3 linked regions of the Rhinolophus ferrumequinum genome follow. The protein of the gene in region 2 purifies or fractionates together with the protein of the main gene of each other region. This does not show direct contact. Links are inferred from orthologs where the notes say so. Each region holds a gene or a part of one and is shown on either strand. Other genes may lie near its edges. The genes, in order: AMPD2, SDC2 and CAMKV.

Region 1 (7,323 bases), on a different chromosome or scaffold from region 2:
CTGGGAGAAGCTGAGAAATGAGCTGAACAGCTTAGTTCTGGAAGGATCTGGGCATAGGGTATGGTTTGTGAAATTTTCCTGGCCAAGAATCTTTTTAAGACTGCAGGTGTTTTCTCCCAAGTCTAATATTTGCGGAGAGTGGTCTGGCGCAGGTAGGAGGCTGACATCGTAAGTGAGCTGCAGGCCAGGGCTAAGAGAAGCAGTTCTTGCAAGAAGTAAGGAGTGCATTGTCGTCAGTGGGGACCTGCGATTCAGGGAGGGCCGTTTAAGGAACCATCTGATGAATAGACTAGGAGGGGAAGAAGCTGTGTTTAGGTCCCAGAGGCTCAAAGACATCATTAAGGCCCCAACGTGAGGTTGTAGGGAATGACTCACTCCTTCATTTCCCAAACTCTCTTCTACACAGACAATGGAACCCCACTGAGCTGTTGCTGGTGTTATGTAGGTGGGGAGATTGCTGCTGGGTGTAATCAGGGCAGATTTCCCAGCAGGGACAGTATACCAAATGGCCTGGAAATGTAGGCGAGTTACACGGTGAAGGGTGTGATGCACGTGGGACTAGGGAGAAGCATGAAGGGACGAATGAACCGGTTTGCCTGGGCAGGGTGGAGGGCAGGGATTGCCATCTGTGGGCTGGTTAGGTAGGTAAATAGGTAGGTCTGGATTAAGGGGGAGTCCTGAAGAAACCTGGCGCGATGCAAGATACCACTGCTTAAAACCGTCAAAATTTGCATTTTTATTAGAACATAGTTGACATTCTACTTGGTTACCTGGTGCTTGATTTTTAATTTTGAGATTTATTTTATTACTCATTGTTGGGAGCCCAACAGCCTCAACATTCCTCAGGGCCCCAAGATCAGTTTAGTCTGGGGTTATGACCCAGGAGGGTCTACTGGGGATGGGGTGGAGGCTATTACCGATTTTTACAGACTTTCGTTGTTTTCCAGTCCCTTGATTATAAAAGTAATGGATGTTCATTGCAGACAATTTTTAAATGCAAATAAGTATACAGAGGAAAATAAATAATAACCCACGATTCTGCCTCTCACAGGTATTCATTTGTAAACTTCTTGGTGTGTTTATTTTCTATGCATATATGTCACATAATTAGGGCCATATTGTATGTACAGATTTTTACATCCATTTATTTTTCACCTAGCGTTACATTGTAAACATTTCCTCCTCAGTAAGAAATTCTCCAAGGACAGCTGTATTTCACTGTATGTATACAACATAATTTAAACGTTTCCCTGTTGGGCCTTTAAAGTTGCCAACCTTTCTGTGTGATAAACATTGTAGTGGTGAAACTTTGGGCATGTTTCTCTGGCAGCTCTTTTTAGAAGAATAATTTCCTGGAAGTGGAATTACTGGGTCAAATAATATGAAATTTTAAAAGATTCTTGATCATATATTACTAAATGGCTTTCAGAAAGATTGTGCCAATGTTTATGCCCCAGTGGTATATGTGTGTGTTCCAGCTCACTAACTACACCCTCATCTGCATTAGGACTTCCCCCCCCTTTCTTCCACCTTCCCCTCCCCACTCAGGTTCAAGCCGTTGTTTCTCAGTCTAGTTGTGTAGGACACAGCTCCCTGGCCCATGCTCGTGTTGAGCCTTGCGCTCCCCCCGGCTGAGTCCGCTGGTCGCTGGTCGACGGTTGCTGGTCGTCAATCAGTTGCTCACAGCATCATGGCAGCTCTCGCTGGTTGCCGGCCACTCATGATGGCTGCCAGCCACTCACGATGGCTACCAGCTGCTGACGGCAGCACACAGCAGCCCACGGCAGCTCACGATGGTTGTTGGCCACTCATGCTGGCCGTGGCCGCTCATGGCGGCAAACAGTAGCCCATGGCAGCGCACAGCAACCCACGGGCTTATGCCAACCTCCAGCTGCTCCCGGCAGCCCAGCTCCAGGGAGAGCTGTTGTTCACAATCTTAGCTGTAGAGGGCGCAGCTCACTGGCCCTGGTGGGAATCCACTCAGCTACCTCGGCGTTAGGAGCACAGTGCTCCAAACACCCCAGCCACCGGGCTGCCCAGAACTTTTCCCCCCCTTAATCTTTGCTAATTTGATGGGTAAACATGGCATTTCCTTGTCCTCTTTTCAATTTTATTGATTCTTTGTAAGGTGAATTTTTCCTCCCCCGTGTTTATGAAGACCATGGCTTTTTGAGTTGCCCAGCATTAGGAGCAGTAGGCAGGGATCAGTGGAGGTGAGAATAAGGTTCAGGGTCCAGCCTGGGGAGAGTTGGGAGAGGCAAAGTTTGGGAAGGAATTTGGCTATGGGGGTGGTGAGAACTAGGAGGAGCTGGATAAGCAGCGTTTGTGCAACTGAGTGTGGGGGGGTAAAGGGCTCCCACAAGATGGAGAAATAGGAAAAAGATTAATTGCTGCTAATACACTTAATTATGTTCAGTGAAGTCTTCGGGACTTTCCCTTGTAAGTTCCCTTTAGGTATGATTTTCAGCCACTTGAGAGTGGAGATGCTGGTTGGGCGGTGTATCTGCAGTCCCCACAACAGACCAACTCCACTTCTTTATAGGCTATAAGGTGAATAAACCTCTGGGAATGTTAAAGCCAAGGCCAAAGCAATAATACACAAATATTAATTGGATAGTAAAAGGTCAGGCACTGTTGTGAGCAGTTATATTAGCTCATTTATCGAAAAAACCACCACAAAGCAGGGTTTCTTACACTCATTTTATAGATGAAATAGAAATTCAGCTAAGAAATAACTTTCCCAAAGTCAGTCAGGAAGTAGGTGGAGGAGTCTGGAATTGAACCCAGGCATTCTGGCTACAGAGCCTAAGCTCTTAATCAACAAATATAGAAATAAATGTGGGAAGGGGAGCCAGAATGCAAGGCACACCCTGCCTATCTATGCCTGCCAGGAGGAAACAGACACCCACAGTGAGAATGCTGGTGTAGGACTTCTGCGAAAAGTGAATCTTGGGGCAATGATAATAGCTACCTTTCATTGGGCACTTATTTTGTGCCAGGCACCGCGCAAAGGTGGTGAACATTTATCCTCACAATAACTCCTTTGAGTGAGGTAGTGCGATTACCCCATCCCATTTACTGACGAGCTGACGCACAGAACTTGCACCGATCCGACGGTGACGACTGCGTAGTGGCTGCAGACCACGTGGCGCCGGGATGAGGAAAAAATGGCGGGGGCGGGGCCTGGCGGCCCGGGCGGGGCGGGGCCTGGGCCCGCGAAGACGCGCGGCGGCACTGGTCAGATTTCGGTGGGGTCGCACCTGTTGCGTGACTACCCCACAGTCCAGCTCCAGGAGGCCGACCCCGAATATCCAGAGAGTGTGGAGAGAAGCCCAGGCGAGTTCCGGGTCCCGCTGTCCCGGGAGCACGTGGCCTGCTCGCCTCTGGAGTGCGGGAGCTGAGGGGTCTTCCAGGCCAGTGCTGCGGCCAAGGTCGGCGGGGGCCCGCCTCCTGACATCCGGCAATTTTGAAAGACTGCCTTACTTCCCGCCGCTCCGTGCCGGGGCAGGGGCTCTTAGAGCGACTTGGTGCGGGTCTGGGCCCCAGCCCTCATCCCCTTCCTCGAGACCCGGGCTTCCCGGCTGTGCAGACCCTGGCGGGCAGCCTCCCCGCTCCCTTTAAGGGCTCGGGCAGCATGGCCTCAGGTGAGTGTGTGTGCCTGTGTTGGGGGAAGGGTCTCTGGGATAGAGACGTGCAGTGTCCTGGCTGACGAGGGTAGCGGACTGAGCATAGCCCGCAGACGTAGCGAAGGCGGCCAGCTCCTCCTGAGCAGGGCCTGGGAGAGCAGAGCCTGAGTGTGGAAAAACAGAGAGGAGGCGGGAGACGCCGGGTCTCTTTCCCAGACCCTCAGAGAAGCCCCTGCCTCCTGGCCTCTCTGCCTTCCGAGAAGGTAGCTTCTGCTGGACAGTGGAATTTTCCCAAGACAGGCTACTCCCTACCGGGCTGGGATTCTCCGTTCTACTCCATCCTCCCAGAGCTGCGCTACTCTGGGGCCGGGGTTCAGATAGAGAAGGAAAAAGGGGATTCTGCCCTAGAGGGACTGGGTGTTCACGGACTGCGCCTGCCCTGGGCCGAACGTATTCTGAGTCTGGGGGAGCTCACGCCGGATCCTTGTTTATTATTATATTTTTCTCTCACGCTAGCTAGTCCAGCTAGCCTGGACTTTGAGCCCTCGCCCCAGAGTCATGGCAAGGGAGGCGGGTTCCAGGGCTCCAGAGAGAGGGTTAGTGGCGTGCTGGGTGCTGGCTCTCTACGATCTTGTTCGCACCTCCATCCCTCCCCAGGCCCACGTCACTCCTGGGATGAGGGAGGGGAAGGGAGGATTAAGGGGCGGGGATGGAGGCCCCTCCTGGAGGTTGCCTAGACAACAGAAATCGTGGCCAGGGCCTCTTCCGCTGGCGGGGCCTCTGCTTCCTGCATCACTCACTCCCGCTGGGGGCGGGGCGGAGGAAGGGGTTGGATGTGGCAGAGCCAGGCCCAGCTGGTGCGGCTCAGACTCCCCCGCCATCTCCACGACCAGAGCCATGGCATCCTATCCATCCGGCCCGGGCAAACCCAAGGCCAAATATCCCTTTAAGAAGCGTGCCAGCCAGCAGCCCTCCTCTGCAGCACCAGGTGAGTGTGTGCATCCTGACCCAGGCACTGGCTCTGCTCCACCACTTCTGGCCCAGGCCACTGGTCCCCTCAGAGGGTGGGGGGGTGTGGGGGGGTGGTTCTGCACCCTCTCTGCTGTGGTGTGCCTCGTCCTCGGTCCCAGGGACAGCTGGCTTGGGAGGTGGTGGGGGGAGAGAGGTGGGGTGGACGTTTCCATGTCAGGGATGCTATCCTTGTAACGGAGTGGGCATGGGTGTGGGTGCAGCAAGAGGTGTGTTTGCACACGTGTCAGCGTGTGGATGTGCTAAGGCTGTTTGCATGGAGAGTGTATGAATGGAGTGGGGGCTGAGTGGGACTGACTGGTTTGCAGAGTGGCCACAGTGCTAGCAGCTGTGCCTTTGCCAGGCAGGCTCAGGCTGTCTTCGTATGGCTAGTTCCTCTTTTTAGGACCCCAGATCTCTGACCCCTCATCGGGGCTCTGATGTTAGGGCACACTCATTGACACTGGGATCCCAAGGCCGGGGGCGCAACTGTGATCGTTTGCTGTGTGCTCATTCCTGGTCTGTCTCGTGAGCGTCCCCAAGAGTATTGGTGTCCTTGGGCCGGACCATGCAGGGCTCAGGCTGGGCCTGCTGCCCACCCGCAAGTGCTCCAGTACCCTTTGGTTCCGGCTCCCACTCTGGTAGGCATCTCTGCACCATTTGGAGCAGGCAGCCTGGTACGGTTGTGCCCAGTTCCCTAAGGGCTCGGCTGCCTGGGTCTGCTTTCTAAGGGATATCTCCCTGCCATCTGCTGTCCCCAGGTCTTGTGGCTGAAGAAACACCACCCCCACCTTGGTGACTAGCTCAAGCCAGTCTCCCCCTCAGCAGCTGTCTGTACCTAGCCTGACCACCCACCTCCTATGTTTTCTTATGCCATTGAAGATGCTGGCCTGATCCGTGCTGTCCTGAGGGTCTGTGTTTTCTGTGCCCAGGTCTGTGCCATCCAGAGGGTGTGTCCGCCAGGGCCAGATCTGTACCTTTGGGTGGTCACATGGTGGGAGCATCATACTTGTGGGTCAAAGCCTTGGGCACCTCGCTGCCTACTGAGGCAGTCCTGGCAGTGAGTCCTGGTTAAGAGAGTAGATGGGATGGCAAGAATCTTGGAGTTGGTGGGAGTGGTTGGCTTTTGGTCAACTATACCCTCCCTCCCCTTCCCCCCGTGTGATTTTGTGTGTGTGTGTGTGTGTGTGTGTGTGTGTATGTGTGTGTGTGTTGCTGTGACACAGACTCTGGGAGAAGGGACCAGCAGACAGCAGCTGGGTTTTCTAGGCCCGGCTGCAGGGAGTGTGGGGGTTACTGCCTGTCTGTCACCTCCAGTGAACCCCGGCAGCCCCGTGCAGTGGCCTGGCAGGCTGGGGGGATGGCTCTGGCTGCTGGAACCTGTCCTGGTCACTCCAGCGTTTCTATGGAAGCCCTGGGCCATCCTGATAGGAGAGGGGGTTGAGATGAGGGCCTTTGTCTCAGCTCCTGCTGAGCCCTTCCAGACCACCCCTGGAGGTCTGTGGTCAGCGGCCCGTAGAGGGGTTTTGGAGTGGGGAAGAGTTGTGTAGAATCAGAGTTCTTGGGCAAGCAAGGACCTCAGGCTGTGTCTTACATCCTAAGGGGTGGAGCAGGTGCTCATCTTTCCTTCCTCTTCCTTCGCTGCCCTCTTACAAGTAAGAGATAGTATCACCACCCCCATCTCCACCCCTGCCAGGTTCTGTTCTCTTTGCTGCCGTTCTCTGCTTGGTTGCCTTGGCCTGCCCTGGGCCCAAGAACCTCCCACCCTCCCCGGTGGGTGGGATGTGTTGGGAGGGTCCCAGGAGTTCATAATCACAGATTATCGTGTTTGACTGGATACTCGGAGCCAGATCTGTGTAAGCCTTGCGGCAGCTGTGGCTAGACAGGACAGGACCCACTTATCACCCGCTTATAGACAGGACTCGAGTCATCCAGGAGGTAGAGACTTGCTAATAAATGGGAACAAAGTCAGATTCAAGTCCTCCAAATTTTAGTCCCTCTTCTCCCAATTGTCCCTCTCTTCCTGGGCAATGTGTCCATCACAACTGAAACGGGGGTTGGAGGTCTAGGGGACCATGAACCAGTCGCGGGGCGTCATGGTCCCTGCCTGGACTGAGCCACTTCCAGGGCTGCCAGCCAGCTCCTCTCCCAGGCAGAGGCCCTGTGTCTCCCGAGGGACCCCATAGGCAGGGCCCCAGAGGACAGGCAAAACAAGGCCACTGGGCAGAGGAGGATGGCCTGGGGCTGCTGGGTATAGAGACAGGGGCTGCTTGCCCTCTTTCTTTGTACTCCTCTTCCCCCATCCTTTGGCCAGCCAGATTCTACCTACTCACTATACACTGGGGCAGTACATTTTAAGGAGCCTTGGCCCCTCCCTGCCAGCTTAGGGTGACCTGCCCATATCAGCCTACCCTGTTCCAGCCCCTTGGGAGCCCCACTTTGGGCTGGGCCCTGGCACTGTAGAGGTTAAGGCCCTGTTCATTTCTGGGGTTCCTCATATCTCCGTACTTTGATGCTCCTTCCCTTGATTTCTGGGCTTTCCTGAGCTCCCCCAGCCCCCTACTTGCCGTCATCCCAGGGTCTCCCCTGTATGCAGCTGCACTTGGTACAGCCCGTGCCGGCCCCTGAGCTGTCCTGGGGGACTGGTTGCAGCTCCACTCAGCAAACAGGCAGGCAAGGGGCACAGGGC
Region 2 (6,952 bases):
TCCCCTTGAGCTTAGTTTAAACTAAAGAATTCACTAACTGCAAATGTTTTTCCTTTCTTCCTTTTAAAGAGAGACTTTAAGCTCATTCCATCACTACTTCTTACTCCCAGGAAACAGTAAGCAGTTTTCAAATTAAAATGCAAAGTACTGGAAATAATGTGCTATAATGGCTTAACGTTTAAAAATTATGTCTTTCAACTTTGCATACATTTATGCTGCTACACATGAAACATAAAAACTGAAAAGTAATTTATACGGACTATTAGCCATCCTGGGCTTTAAAACAGCTTGTATTGAGAACCACTGACTCATTGCCTAACAAAGACTCTGCTAGAGTCTCTAAATTGACATTTTAAAAATATCTAATCACGCTTTTGGATGATATTCCAATTATTGCAAACAGTATCTACTAAGCAAAGCTGCTCACTTGGAAAGCATCCAATTCTGGTTGGAAATGAGAAATATAAGAACCCCAAGGAGACAGAGTTGGGAGAAAGAGTTGCCACTGGGGAGGACACATATAGTTCAACCAAAAAACTTCCTTAAGGAGCACTACTGTCCCATTTATGCAACAATCCAGAGAAGCAGAAGATACAGTCTTTTTCTAGATTCCCCAAAGACTAACATTTCCCAGCAAATCCTGAACAAGTCTCAGCAAAAAAAGACTTCCTTAACTCTGTACAGCTTTTCAGGCAGGCTTCTCTTGAAAACCTTTAGATGGAATTCTCCCTTTGCCCTGTTTTGCAACAAGATGATGAGCATTTAGGATTTTCTGAAATAAACAGAATATCTCCCTTTTTGTGTACAAAAGCCAAAGTTCATAACTGGCTGGGAGATTACCTATCCCAACGGATTAAAGATCATTTGCCAAAGAGAAATAATACTGATAAGGCTCAGAGTTCTGTTTTACTGCCAGAGCACCCAAACACTCATGCAAATCTACGTGCTCTCCAATCTCCTGTAACGTTTGGAGACCTGCTAGCCCACACAGAGGCTCCCACGCTGATGAAAAATGTCCATCTGCTGCTCAGTGCCAAAGAGGTTGCCCAATGCTAAATTGCCTCAACTCAAAAAAAGGGAGAAGGGGGAAGTAACACTCCATAGGGAAGGGGGAAAACTCACAAAACCACCCCTAAAGATGAAATTATTTCTCTTCGAAGAAATATTTCAGTTTATCAGAAACGGATAAGGTATTAGGTGGCAAAGGGAAGAAATATGGGTAACTACAAGGAACAGAAACAGCTGCACTCCCTAACCCAGGCGCCAGACGGCACTGAGGCTGCAGACGGAATCGGGGGTGCTCGGGCTTCCACCTAGCTAGACAAAGCTCTGGACTCCCAAGTAGGAGCCTTCACAGACCAGGGGAAGTCCGGGAGGCAGTTCCCATTAGAGGGCGCTCTTTGGGCGACATAGGGAAAGAAGCTCCAGCCCCCGAAACCCACCCAAAGAAGGAGAAACCAAATTCCCACTGCTGGAAACCAAGTACCCGCAGCCTGCCCCGGCGGGAAAAGAGTCCTCTCAGCCTGGGGTGCACCCAGCCAGGGCCCGCGACAGCGAGCATGGCGGACTGGAAGCCTCGGTCCCCGAGCTGCCAGGCGACCCGGTGTCACACGCACCCCGCCTCGCCCTGTGTGCTGCACTCCAGTGTAATCCGTATTAAAATGTCCTCCTGCCCCTAAGAGTCCGCGCCGGCCGTTCTCCACCCCTCAAGGAGCAGGGGATCGCCGCAAGACCGGGATTCTAGCGGCCGGCACCCCAGCATTTTCCGGCCATTCCGCTCCGCCCCCGCGGGACCGTGGACTGCACCTCCGCGGGCAACGATTCCACGTAGTGTCTGCTCCCTCGCCCCAGCCACAGGAAACATCAAACAAAAGAACTTTTGCAAACTTTCCTCTCCCGACACACGCGGGTTTCTTAAATCAGGGCCCCATCTTCCCCAGAACTTACATTCAATCGAGTAGGAAAGCTGTCGTGGGGACATGGTGTGAGGAGGAAGGGACCTCAAAGTTTACAGGTCACCCTGGGTCTCGGGGAGTGCGTGGAGAGGACCTCTTGCCCCGCGAGCCCTATGCGGGCTCCCATCTCGGCCACCCTTTCCTCTCAGACCTTCCCGGGCAAGGCAGCAAGACCCTCCCAAGGCGAAGAAGCTGGGAGTGACTTCGGGGCCTCTGCGGTTTGACAAAACTGCGATTCTTGCGCCCTCATCCCCAGGGATCTCGGGGCAACTCCAGCGAGCGGCGCTTTTCTGCGGGAAGGGAAAGTGGAAACGGATGGAGGAGCAAGCGCGTTTGTCCCAGTAGCTCCCCGGGGGACGAGCGCCGCGTGTGGGGGTGTTCGGGCGATGGGAACCCCCAGGTGGCGCTCCCCGATTCCCGCGGGCGCTGCGGACTCCACTCGGCCTCGAGCACCCTAAACGGTGCGCGCGACCCTCGCCTGGCCTACTCACCGACTCCGCCGATACACAGGCCACCAAGCCCAAGGTAAGCAAGATCCAAGCGCGCCACATATTCCTCCGAGGACCGGCTGCTCCCAGCCGCCACTTGAAGAAATGAAGCTTCTTGCCCAGTACCCGGCGCAGCCCGCGCAGAGACTTGGAGCAGAGCAGCCGCGGCGACCTCGGCTCGGGCTCGAGGGCTCCCGCTCCGGCCTCGGAGGCACTCGCTGCCTCCTCCTGTGATTGCTCCCGAGTCCTCCGCTGCGCCCCGAGAACGCAGCGCCTTCTCACTTGTTGGTTTCTGCACTCTTGACGCCGAGTTGTTGCTCCGGGGAGGCTGCTCTCTGGATCTCTTCTTGCTCTGCTGTTGTTTTACTCCTCCGCGGACTCCTTCTCCGTGTCGCGGTTCAGCTTCTGATTTTGAGGAATATTTTTAATGGCTTGGACTGTAGCTGCAACTCAAGTTTGGGGGCAGAGCGTGGAGGCGCGCTGCGCGCGGCAGGAGCTCCCCGATTATCTGGAGAGAAGCGCGGCAGAGTGCAGCTAGTGGCTCAGCCTCTGCGCTCCTCCTTCCGTGCCGCCGCCTCCCTCCCTTGGTCCTCCTCCTTACCTCCACTCCTCCTCTCCTCGCGTTCCCTCCCTCTTTGCCACCCTCCCTCCCTCCGGAGCTGGCTTCTCCTGGCTCCTCCGGGCGTCTGGGGAAGAGGCGGCAGGGTGACTCCCAGCTAAACCCGGGAGAAATTCCTACGGGATTACACCACGATTGGCAGCTCCGGGGACCAGTGGGCGCCGGCGGCTCGGCGCCTCGGCTGCTCTGGGTCTGCTCGTCCGCATTCAGTAGTCTGGTGCTCCTTCTTTTTCTCTCTCCTTTACCCCCTTCTCTCCCCGCTTTTCCTCTCTCGTCCTCCGTGCTCTTTTCTTCTCTATTTTCTTTTCAAAAATTTTTTTTTTTCGGAGAAAGATCGGCGAAACAACGAGAGACGTATTTAGCTTTTCTGCCTGTGAGAATTAGACTGCTGGAAAGAAACTGCTTTGAGAGTTGGAAAAACACAAAGTTTACAGATGCCTTCAAGCAGTGTTCACAAATCTCCAATTCATGAAAGCTGTATTTTAAAAGAGGAGACAAAAAAGGCAAAACACATGTATTAAGAGTATTTCCCACCCTCCCTAACCCGGCCATAGAGAGAGAAAGAGAGAGAGAGAAAGATTTGGAGGAAGACCCCTATAAACTCAAAATGCAGCACTTTCAAAGCTCATAATTTAATTAAAGGCTTAAATACCATTTCTGCCTCACACACAGTTTAAGCCCTTAAGGCATTTTATAGGCTTCATTTCAGCATAGAGGTGTTAACGTTTGGAAGCTACAAATAGGGCAATTTGATGAGAAATTGGATGGAGACCCTGAATAATAACAGATTTAAGAGAACGTCAAAGAAAAGAGGATAAAGTAATTTCTAGTTTGAAGATAATAATGAGCATGTATATCCTGAATGAAAGTAATTGATCTGAAATATTTTGGTATGATTTTTTTTTCAATTCTTTGTCTATGGTATACTACAGAGCATGGCAAATGCATAATTCCTTCCAGTTTCTAATACTATGTTTCTCTCTGACTTATGAAATCAATGAATTATGGAGCTATTCTGCTTCTAGAATGACTCCTCCAGGAAACCAGGGACCTTTCTGTCTTGTCCTCCACTGTTTTCTCATTCCCGGTACATAAAACAATAAATATTTCTTGAATAAATTTGATCTAAAACTGAATCTATACTGCATGAGAATTGTGAGCCTTTAAGATACATAGATATAGATATATAGAAATTAGGCCATGGTAATTTTTGAACTTAGTATGTAGTAGAAAAAAATAGTCCTACTCTAAGTGAGAATTGCAATGTCTTAGAAGCCTTCCACTGTAATAAATCTCAAAGAAATTTAGAGAACTATAGAGTTACAACTCAAAGCTGGAGAGATCCAGCTCTTTGCTTTTGAGTGCCAACTACCAAGCTTCCATGGGCAAATCTAAGGCATTGGCAGCCAAAAGGGTAATATGGAGAAATAGAAGAGTGACCAAATGAGAAAGAGGAAAAGAAACAGATCAGGAAGTTGTAAGTTGTAACACAAAATACTTCTGATTCCACAGAAACTGAGCTGGCACCTGTGGGTCAATGTGGGCCCAGCTTGGTTTTTGGAAGAAGGAACCATGGCCATACTTTTAAGAAGTGGGTTTTCTTTGTGGGTTGAAGAATTTCATTAGGAGAGACTTCGGAAAGGAGGTTCCAAAAAAATGAGCAACATGAGACAACTGCAAAGAGTCATAAAATGTCACTTCTCCCCCCTAAAGAGAGTTAGTCTGTTCTCCAGCCTCAGGCAAGGCCACACCCCCTATTCTCTCCAACAGTTAAGAATACATCAAATAAATTAGAGTTCCAATAAAAGGGGAAAATGCACTTATTCACTGGTTCTCATAGTTATCTCTGTTTATTGGGGCAACCACCTAACATTCAGCTTGGGCAGAAATTGATAAAATTGAATAATCAGGTGTATCTGTTGAAGGAATGTATCTGTGCACAAATTCCAAGGCTCTTGGTGTTTATGAGACTCTGAGTGACTTGTTCTTTATAAATGATTATGCAGCATTAAGAGTATATGTAATAAGGGGATGGTATAATTTTGACAGTTACACATAAGAGGTGTATGATAACAAATAAATATTCAAGATCTTGTGTTCAAATGTGTTAACAGTTATGGCCAAAAGAATAATCTGACCATATGAAAATCACTAATAGTGAAAGCAATTGCACAGGAACAGGATACAAAAAAAGTTGCTTATGCTAAGTAGGGTAGGGGGCGGGGACGGGATATCTTCTGGTGTTAAGCATATGTCTAAATGTTGGAAATGACAAAGGCCTTTGTCTTAGTATGTTTGAGCTGCTATAAGAAAAACATCATAGACTGTGTGGCTTATAAACAAGAATTTTTTTTCCTCACATTTCTGAAATCTGGGAATTTCAAGATCAAGGCAACAGCAGATTCAGTGTCTGGTGAGACCCAGTTTCCTGGTTCATAGATGGCTTTCTTCTCACTGTGTTCTCACATGGCAGAGGAGGGCAGGAAGCTCTCTGGGGCCTCTTTTATAAGGGCACTCATCCCATTCATGAGATTAAGCCCTGGTAAAAAAGAGACAACAGGCCCAAAATGGAGTCACTTGTGCTAAGCCCCATGTCACCAAACCAAGACTTAATACCTAACCTAATTGCAGTTTCAGGAGCTCCCAGGGATGCTGTCTTAACCAGTCAGTCTGGAATTTCCTGATCAGCATTAGTGAGGTCATCCACCTGACAGACCCCTTTCTTCCCCTAAAGGAAGGTGGCCTTGCCTGAAACAATCCACTCTTCCCGCCTTCTGCCTATAAAAGCCTTTCACTTTATACAGCGCCTGGGATCTCCTTTCTAGCTGCTAGATGGGATGCTACCCAATTCATGAATCATTGAATAAAGCCAATAAGGTCTTTTAAATTTACTCAGTTGAATTTTGTTTTCTGTGTGTTTTTTTAAAAAACAAATGTTCTTGGGGAATATTGGGGGACAGTGTGTTTCTCCAGGGCCCATCAGCTGCAAGTTGTTGACCTTCAATCTAGTTGTGGAGGGCACAGCCCACCATCCCATGTAGGAACTGAACCGGCAACCTTGTTGTTGAGAGCTCGTGCTCTAATCAACTGAGCCATCTGGCCACCCCTCCGGGCTACCCCTCCCGGAGCTCAGCCACAGCTCAAGCTCAGCAGCAGCTCATTGTCTTCAATTTAGTTGTGGAGAGAGCAGCTCACTGGTCCATGTGGGAATCAAACCGGCAACCCTATTGTTCAGAGCTCACCCTGAATTTTGTTTTTTAACAGCCCTCATGACCTAAGTTCTTCCCAAAGGCCCTACTGCCAAATACTATCACTTTGGAGATTATGATTTCAGCATATGAATTTTGGGGGGGACACAAACATCTATAGTGGCCTGTTTGTGTGTTTTGCTAATTGCATTTTTTCAACTGATAGGACTAAAGTTCAGTAGAATTTTGTGGATTATATCTAATACACTAAGTGTAGCTTTTGACTAGAGCCAAAAGTTCCTCACAAATATGTGTTTTCAGGTCTTCTGTTTAAGGGCTGTGCTTTGAGGGGCACAGTAAGTAAAATATCAAAACCAATCACTCCCCAAATAGCTTCATTGGCTGCTGAAAGAATAAACACCTACCTCAAGAATCTCAGAAGAAAATATAACAAATAAACAGAAACTGAGATGCAAAAATGTAAAAACAAAAAAACAACAACAACGAATTAAAAGGAACCAGACAAAATGAAATATTAGGACTGAAAGCTTCTAAGGACATATTTTTTAACCATGCTGGACTCTGACACATTGGACTCTGTCATTATGGTATTTAATAATAACTCATTGTAACAGTGGACAGGTAGGTGCTGTATCCCAAAGTGAGCTGTCAGAGTAGGAAACTGCAAAGGGAGAAAGATGT
Region 3 (7,209 bases), on a different chromosome or scaffold from region 2:
CCTGCTGCCCTGCTCCTCTGCCACGTGGGGCTCCAGAGCTTGCAGCAAATCTGGGGAGGCCAGGAGGGGCCCAGGAGGCCTCCAGCTGCCTCCCAACAACTGTCGGCAACACCTCCCGATTTAGTGGCAGCTGTGAACACCAGCCTGCGGGCACCCCCCCCCCCATTCCCTGCTTTCCTTTCTCAGGGACTGGGGCTGGGTTTGCAGTGGACACGCTTAGGCCCAAGCCCTGCCGGCCCACTGCTGAAGCCTCACCCGCAGGACCAGGGGAAATAGAGACCTCACTCTCGTGGTCTGGTGTCAGGAGGCAGAGCCGAGCTTCTGGCCTACCCTCCAGCTGCTTCAGAAAACTGGGCAGGGGGCTGCCTTGGCTGGGCCTCATGCTCTAGCTAAACCATGGTCCATAGTTCCTGCTGCTGACCCTTTGCCATCTAATGAGGGAGTGTGTGTGTGTGTGTGTGTGTGTGTGTGTGTGTGTGTGGCGGGGGTGGGGGTGGGGGGCGGGCTCCAGTCTCAGGGGTGGGTATACCGTCCAGTGCTGCCATCAGAAAGTTCAACCCTCATATGCAGGCAGAGTCAAGAGCCAGCTGACCCCTCCTGGGCACCTTTGAATCCCTAAAGGAAAACTCCCTGGGGTCCCTGCTTCCCTGTGGGTGGAGGAGGGGAAATGCAGGGGAAGGCTCTAGAGCAAAGGGTTACAATGGTGATGGAAGTTTTAAAACAAGAGGAGGGGGAGGGAGAAGTGTTGGCCAAACCCCTTCTCGAAGAATTCCCTGAGGCTTTGACCTGGTTCCTTCCCCATGGGTTCTGTGACCTTGGTCCCTATCAAGAAAGGGGAGGTGGAGGTACTGAGACACTTATAAAAAGAGAAAGAGAGACATGGCCACAGGGAGACAAAGGCACAACCTGTGATGGAAGGGAAGCAAACAGGCGACAGAGTAAAAAGGATGCAGCCACAAGGGTGGGGGGGGGGGGAAGGTGGGCATCGGGTTCTGAAGGCGCCTGTGGGTGCCCAACAGAGCCCTAGGGCCTCCACGGCCATGTGCTCTGAACACCTGGGCCAGGAGCTGCTGCCTGGTACCTGGACTTTGAGACTGAACCCTCCTATACGCCCTAGACATGCAGGGAACCTGGTGTGGGAAGCACCCTTAGCTCGAAGGAAGAGGCCAGCTACTGCAGTCGCCTAAGTCAGAGCAGCTCCTCAGCCCCTCTCCCTGTCATCACAGCAGCTTAGGTAAGGCAGGTCCCACGTGGGGAAGGCACCAGCGTGGGGGATGGAAATGAAGCTCGGAGACCTGGCTGCTTCCCTTCACAGCCCTCCTCTCAGCTGGCCCAGCTACACCTGGACTCCCCAGCCACACCCCCAGCCCCCTTCTGCTATCCTCTCTAGGCCTTAGGTCCCCAGGGCCCCTCTTGCAGCTCAGCCTAATTCTCTGCCACTGCTGTCCCCCTCCCAACAGTGGATCCTGTTAGGAGAGCCAGAAACAGCACCCTAAGCAACCTAGAAACAGGAAAACAACTGCACAGCCCCACCTCCCCTTGCCTTAGTTTCCCTGGATGGAGATCACGGACTCAGTGGCCTTCTCCCAGGGCAAGGATTGATTGATTGCCTGCTAGTGAGTGGTGGCCAGGATATGGGCTGGATAGGAGGGCCAGAGGTGGATATGGGAAAGGTAGCCTATGGCACCTGGGGGTCCACACCCAATGCCGTGAAAGGAGAGGGACCTCTGCCTGACACTGAGGGAAGTGGAGACACCATTATCCCAGATGAGGAAACTGAGGCCCAACAGCCGGCTAAAGCTGACAGGAATCAAATGAGAGGGGAGGGCACCAGGTCTCTGCAGGTGGTCCTTGGGGGGTTCAAAGGCTGGGCCTTGGAGGAGGGTGGCAGGACAGGAGCTGGACTGCTGTAGACTGAGCTTTTGGTGAGGGACAGAGGGCCCTGCTCCCCAGAAGAGAACCCGGTGGAGCAGGCTTTCCTAAGGGGTGCAGACAAAAGCAGTTTGGCAGAGCTATGGGGGGCTGGGAGAGCCTAGGGTCTCTGCCAGACATTACAGGTTGGGGAAGGCAGAAACTCCCTGGTTTATTGTCCACCTCCCCCAGCCACAGCCCTGCTTCCCACCGCGGTGCCACCCTGACCCCCTTCCCAGTGCTGCTGACTCGCCCCCGCTGGCACAGCAACACACATGCGGGAGGCACACGTGTGAGCACCAAGCCCCGCACCACCCAGCAGAGACATATGTGTCCCCCACCCCCACCATCCAGCGCTAGGTCGGTGTCCTGGACCCCGGCTGGGCCCCAAGTTAAGGCTTGAAAACTGGATCTTGCCTCGGGCGCTGCTGGTCCCCAGGGGCTTGAAGCCCCCTCCCCCACTCCGGCAGCCCCGCCCAGCCCCCTCCAGGTTGTCGCCCATAAAGAACTCTCCGTTGTCATGGAAATTAGTGACTGCTTTGAGAAAGGGAGGGGGGCGGGAGCAGTTGGGAGGGGCTGGAGGCGGCTCTGGGAGTCAGGAGGGACCACTCAGCCCTCGGCCCCTACCCCCCTCCGCCCCCCGCCATGGGGCACCACGAATGTCCGAGGGTTAATGTTTTCACAATTAGTAGCCCAGCGAGACGGGGGCGGGGTGGACAAGGTGCGGGCGGGGGGAGCAAGGAAGAGGAGATTCGCCTGGACTTGAGTCTCAGAGGCTTCCCCTGGGACCCCCGAGCTGTCAGAGGTGACAGGCAACTTTAGCCCAACCCCGCACGCGGACCCCCAAATCTGCACAGCCTGTGTGCTCTGCCCCCGCAGGGGCCCCAAGCCTTCGCGGGGCCCCTGTACATTAAGCGACCAGAGACCTAATCCCCCAAGACCTCACAACGTGCGTCCCAGGGACGCTCCCCCGCCCGGCCCGCCCTCACCTGCAGCGCCGGTTGATCACAGGAAGAAGCGATCGCGGGCTCAGTGGGGGCTCCGAGGGCTCCGGGGTCAGCGGGCAGAATCAGCTCCGGGCACGCGGGCCAGACGCGGCGCCAGCTGCAGCCGCTTGGGCTCGCGAACCTCCAGCATCTCCCGCCGCTCGCCCGCACCGGATTTGCACCCCGGGCCGGGGGCGGGCTGGGGGCGGGGCCTCCCTCAGCCGGCTCCGCCCCGACCCTGGCCGAGCTTAAGGCCCGAATCCCACTCGAATGCAGGCGGACCAGGGGTGGCAGCGGAGTCGGTGAGCATTGGGCTGCCCGGCCCGGGCCAGGCTCTCAAAGGGCTCCCTTAGGCCCTGGGACTGACTGCGCCACAGGGCTTAATGGAGGGGCCTTCTTCCTATGCCCATTGTAGGGGCTGGGGAGTGGGAAGTGTGGGGAAAGCCTGAGTCCTAAAGCTGCACAGGAAATCTCTTGGCAGGTAGTGTCCCGGGGGACCGGCGCACTGCCCAGCTCCCAAAACCTGACCCTAAGGGTGGAACCCGCTTAGAAGAACCAAGTGGACAGTCGCTAGCGCAAGCTGCGCTATAGAGTAGCAACCCGTAACTAGGAGTGGGTTGTGCCCAGACCATGGTGGCAGTCTCCTTTCCACCCCAACCTCCATTCCCGCAAGGCCAAAATCTTTCCCATTACCAAGTCCCAGCCAGGGTGGCTGGCCCAGTCTGTCCCTTCTATGTAGCACTGAATTTCTCAAGCTATAAAAGTCACCTATGGCATGGTGTGGAATCTGCTTTCTTCCCAGTTATATCACCCTCAAACACTTCATGAGCAGAATCACCATCAACGGCCTGGGCTGGGATGTGGGGATACAGGAGACCTGGCCCCTGACCATACCCGGCCACTGACTGGAGGAGGCTGAGAACTACCAGGCAGAAGCTTTAAAGGAAGTCCTTGGCCATTTCTCTGTGGACCCAGTGCTTGCCCTGCTCCCCTCACAAGGTCTGAGGCCATTATCTGAAGGCCAGACTTAGGCTTCTCGGTGCCTGGAGTTGGGGGATCCACCCAACCCAACCTTTCCAGTGAGCCTTCTGACCCCATCCTGGGTGCAGCCATCTCCAAACCCTGTACCATACTGAGTCCGGCTCCCCTGCGTGGCTCCCCGTGCTGCTGACAGAGTGACTGCCCGTGTGAGGAAGCTGGGGCTGGGGCTGAAGGACTAGCCTGGCAAATGACTATTCAAACAAGGCCCCTCTATATCTTCCTACAGAGGGATTGTTGAGGAGCCCTTCATTTCCTTCCCTGGCTTTGGGTCACCTGTCCCAGGCCAGGCTGGTGCCACCTCTGAGTGGTCTCAGTCATGGCACCAATCCCACTACTGGGTGGGAATCTCCTGGCAGGCTGGGCACCTGCAGCGCAGAGACTGTGTCTCATCTCAGTATGCTCAGTCCCTGTCTGTAGAATGAAGGGACAGCCTAGCATGCAGTCCTGCCTCCTGTCTGCCCGCTGTCCTTGAAACAATGGCTCTCTGAGTTGGATGGTGCAGCCGAGCCATGGTTTGCCAACCCCACACATGTCACACGTGTTTTCTGTCTTTCCATGACCTTGAGGTCATGGATATCCAGGCATGGAGAAGCTGAACTGAGGAGAGGCTGGAACAGGGCACTCAGAGGCAGGGGAAAAGGTGGCTGCGGGAGCCCTGCCTCCTGCTGGCAGTGCTCCACCTCTTCTTGGTCCTGTGCACACTCCATGTGTCTGTGGGTGAGAGCACGTGGCAGGGTATATGTGCACACGTGTAAGTGTGTCTGTGTGTTTGCGCTCTTATGCTGAAGGAGAAGGCATTAGCACAGTGTGTGCAGTGGGGCCCAGGGGCACGTGTGTCTGCATTCTGTGTGCACCCAGGCATGCTTGCTCTCACGTGCTCACGGACGCTGTAGCTAGTCTCTGGAGCCACTGGTCCCTGGAGACACTGGTCCCCTTCCTGCCTAACACAGGCCTTGGGATTGTGGAGATTGAATCAGGGTTGTGAGGACAGGACATGGGAAGAGGCTGGACTATGCCCAGGGGCGGGCAGGGGCTGTGATGACCCTATGTCATCGGTTGTTTCTAGTCATCCCCCTAGGGTAGCCCCTCACTCTCAGGTGGGGGGCAGTGGGGTGGGAGGGCAGGGAGGTGTAGCCAGGTCTTTGCCCTCTGTGGAGAGGGTAACCTAAAGACAAGAACCCAGGGTTGAGACTGAGCCATGGCTTGTCCCTCAGTCTCCAACCAGAGAAGCACAGGCAAGGCAGGGCTTCATTGTTTTGGCTTCAATCTCCAACTGCCCTCTCTGGGCAGGAAGTAGCAACACCAGCTGAGTGCTCTTCCAGACTATGGACTGGGCCGACAGAGCTTCATTCCTACCTCCCCTTTCAGAGCCAGACAAGGTCAGGGGCCGTGGCTTCTAGCCACCCCCCCGCCAGAGGAATAGCGGGAGGCCCTAACACGGGGCAGTTTGGGGTAAGAGCAAGAGCAGTTGGCTTTGGCATTGCCCGGTATCCTTTATGAGGATCTCCTGAGGAGGCCTGTACCCTGGCCACACTATGGGCAGGGGCTGCCTGGGTTGGAAGGCTGAAGAGGAGGAGAGCCCAAAGTTGACTATTCTGGCTCCCACCAGAGCTAGATAGTCAGAGAAGCAGGATAAGGCGCGAGCTGCTGTATCCATAGAGCACACAAAGCAGGCCAGAGCCTCAGCCCCCAGCTCAGGTCGTACCCCATCCCCAGGGGCCAGGACTTATCTGCCCCCTACCCCAACTTCCTGCTCCAGGGCACCAAAGCCAGCACTCCTATATCCTCGTATTCTGACTGGTGGACAGAAGCCCCTGCCAACCTAGTGTAGAGCTCCAGCCAAGGTTCAGACTTTAGGAGGTACCTGCATTACCAGGCCAGCTACCCCAAGAAGCCAAGACTCTGACAGGGACTGTCCCTCGGGTACACAAAATGCTCCAGGCCCCCAGCCATCTTTGGAACTTTGGGGCTGTCGTCTATGTTGCTGGTCTCAGCCCCCCTGTAGAGGGCCCAAGATGGGGGAGGGCAAGTAGTCTTTTCCTCTGGTGCTAGGGGAGGGGGCTGCCCCCCCATGACTCACTCCAGGCTGTGTGGGTTATTACATTATGTTTGAAATTGCCATGGCAACCAGCTGGCAATCAAGGGTAATTGCGCTTGTCACCAGGGCAACGGGGCAAAACCCACAGCAGCCATTCTCTGTGTTTGCCCTTGGGGTTCAGTAAAGGTCAGGCGAGACCTGTCAGGCGAGACCAAAGCCAATGCCAAGGGGCTCTGGGGCTCTCTAGAGAAGGCTGCCAGGACCCATGGAGTTCCAGTGTGCAGAGGCAGGGTGTGCCTTAGGAGTGCCAAGGCCGCCATCCCTGACCCTGGGCCAGGACTCCTGCCCCTTCCATACCACCTTGGGCCTAAAACATGCCACAGTGCTCAAAATAAGCAGAACCAGAACTTTTATGTGCTCACAGATGGTACTTGTAGATGGCCCATGGGCCCTCCTCCTCATACTCACGGCGGCTGAGCCACAGGCTCTGGAAGGAGTCCTGGGACGCCATGATGGAGCCTCCAATCCAAGCGGCAGCAACACGGTGGGGCAAGTCCAGCACAGTGGCACGGGGGCCCAGCTCCTGTCTCAGGCGCTCAGGAAAGCCTCTTACCAGGGTGCTGCCACCGTCTAGTACCACATTGGCCAGCAGCTGCTCCTGCTGCTTGGCCTCCAGCTGGCTGATGCTTAGGAGGGCTAGTTGTGCGAGGCCTGGCCGGTTGAGGCCTAGCAGATTGGGCTGGAAGAGGGCCTCAGGGCAGCAGAAACACTCGGAGCCCAGCGTGATGACCTGCTTGTCTGGAAGCACGAAGTCCACCCCGGCCTGACCCTGGGTGCGGGCCATCTCAGCTGTCACATCCATGGCCACGTAGCAGCAGGCCTCTTTAATCTGGTTGACCAGCCCTGCATTGGGCAGTGAGTGCCCACCTGCCAGCAGTAGCTGAGCCAGGTATTCAGTGAGGTCAGCACCAGCCACATCCAGCCGGTAGATGTCACGTGGGGCCAGATCCCCACTGAGGATGGGTGCCACATAGGAGGTGCCATAGCCACTGCCCAGCACCAGCCCAGTGGTTCGCCCATAAGCATAGAGCGCCAGCAGGGCCTGGTGCACTGTCTGCATGGCTGGCACATGGAAACGCTCAAAGAGTATTTCGGCCACCTTTTCTCGGTTGGTGCTCGGGGAGACGGGTGAGTCGGCCACAAGTACTGCCAGCTGTTCAGGCTGCATGCCTA

Evidence for each region.
Region 1: the proteins of SDC2 (region 2) and AMPD2 purify together in Homo sapiens (co-immunoprecipitation; 3 studies listed by BioGRID and IntAct, counting the BioPlex papers as one, with this or other methods). This does not show direct contact. The link is inferred for Rhinolophus ferrumequinum from reciprocal best matches to the Homo sapiens genes SDC2 and AMPD2.
Region 3: the proteins of SDC2 (region 2) and CAMKV purify together in Homo sapiens (affinity purification with mass spectrometry; 3 studies listed by BioGRID and IntAct, counting the BioPlex papers as one, with this or other methods). This does not show direct contact. The link is inferred for Rhinolophus ferrumequinum from reciprocal best matches to the Homo sapiens genes SDC2 and CAMKV.

The regions. Positions count from the first base shown.
Region 1 is NC_046305.1:41,758,454-41,765,776, forward strand, and holds the start of AMPD2 (AMP deaminase 2), read left to right. Parts: upstream 1-4,291; 5' UTR 4,292-4,301; coding exon 4,302-4,614; intron 4,615-7,280; exon of another isoform or gene 7,281-7,323. UniProt on the Homo sapiens protein: AMP deaminase plays a critical role in energy metabolism. Catalyzes the deamination of AMP to IMP and plays an important role in the purine nucleotide cycle.
Region 2 is NC_046297.1:38,339,323-38,346,274, reverse strand, and holds the start of SDC2 (syndecan-2), read right to left. Parts: upstream 3,049-6,952; 5' UTR 2,507-3,048; coding exon 2,447-2,506; intron 1-2,446. UniProt on the Homo sapiens protein: Cell surface proteoglycan which regulates dendritic arbor morphogenesis.
Region 3 is NC_046300.1:6,610,620-6,617,828, reverse strand, and holds the start of CAMKV (caM kinase-like vesicle-associated protein), read right to left. Parts: upstream 3,094-7,209; 5' UTR 2,901-3,093; intron 1-2,900. Other genes in the region: uncharacterized protein LOC117037109, read right to left, coding at 6,395-7,209. UniProt on the Homo sapiens protein: Does not appear to have detectable kinase activity.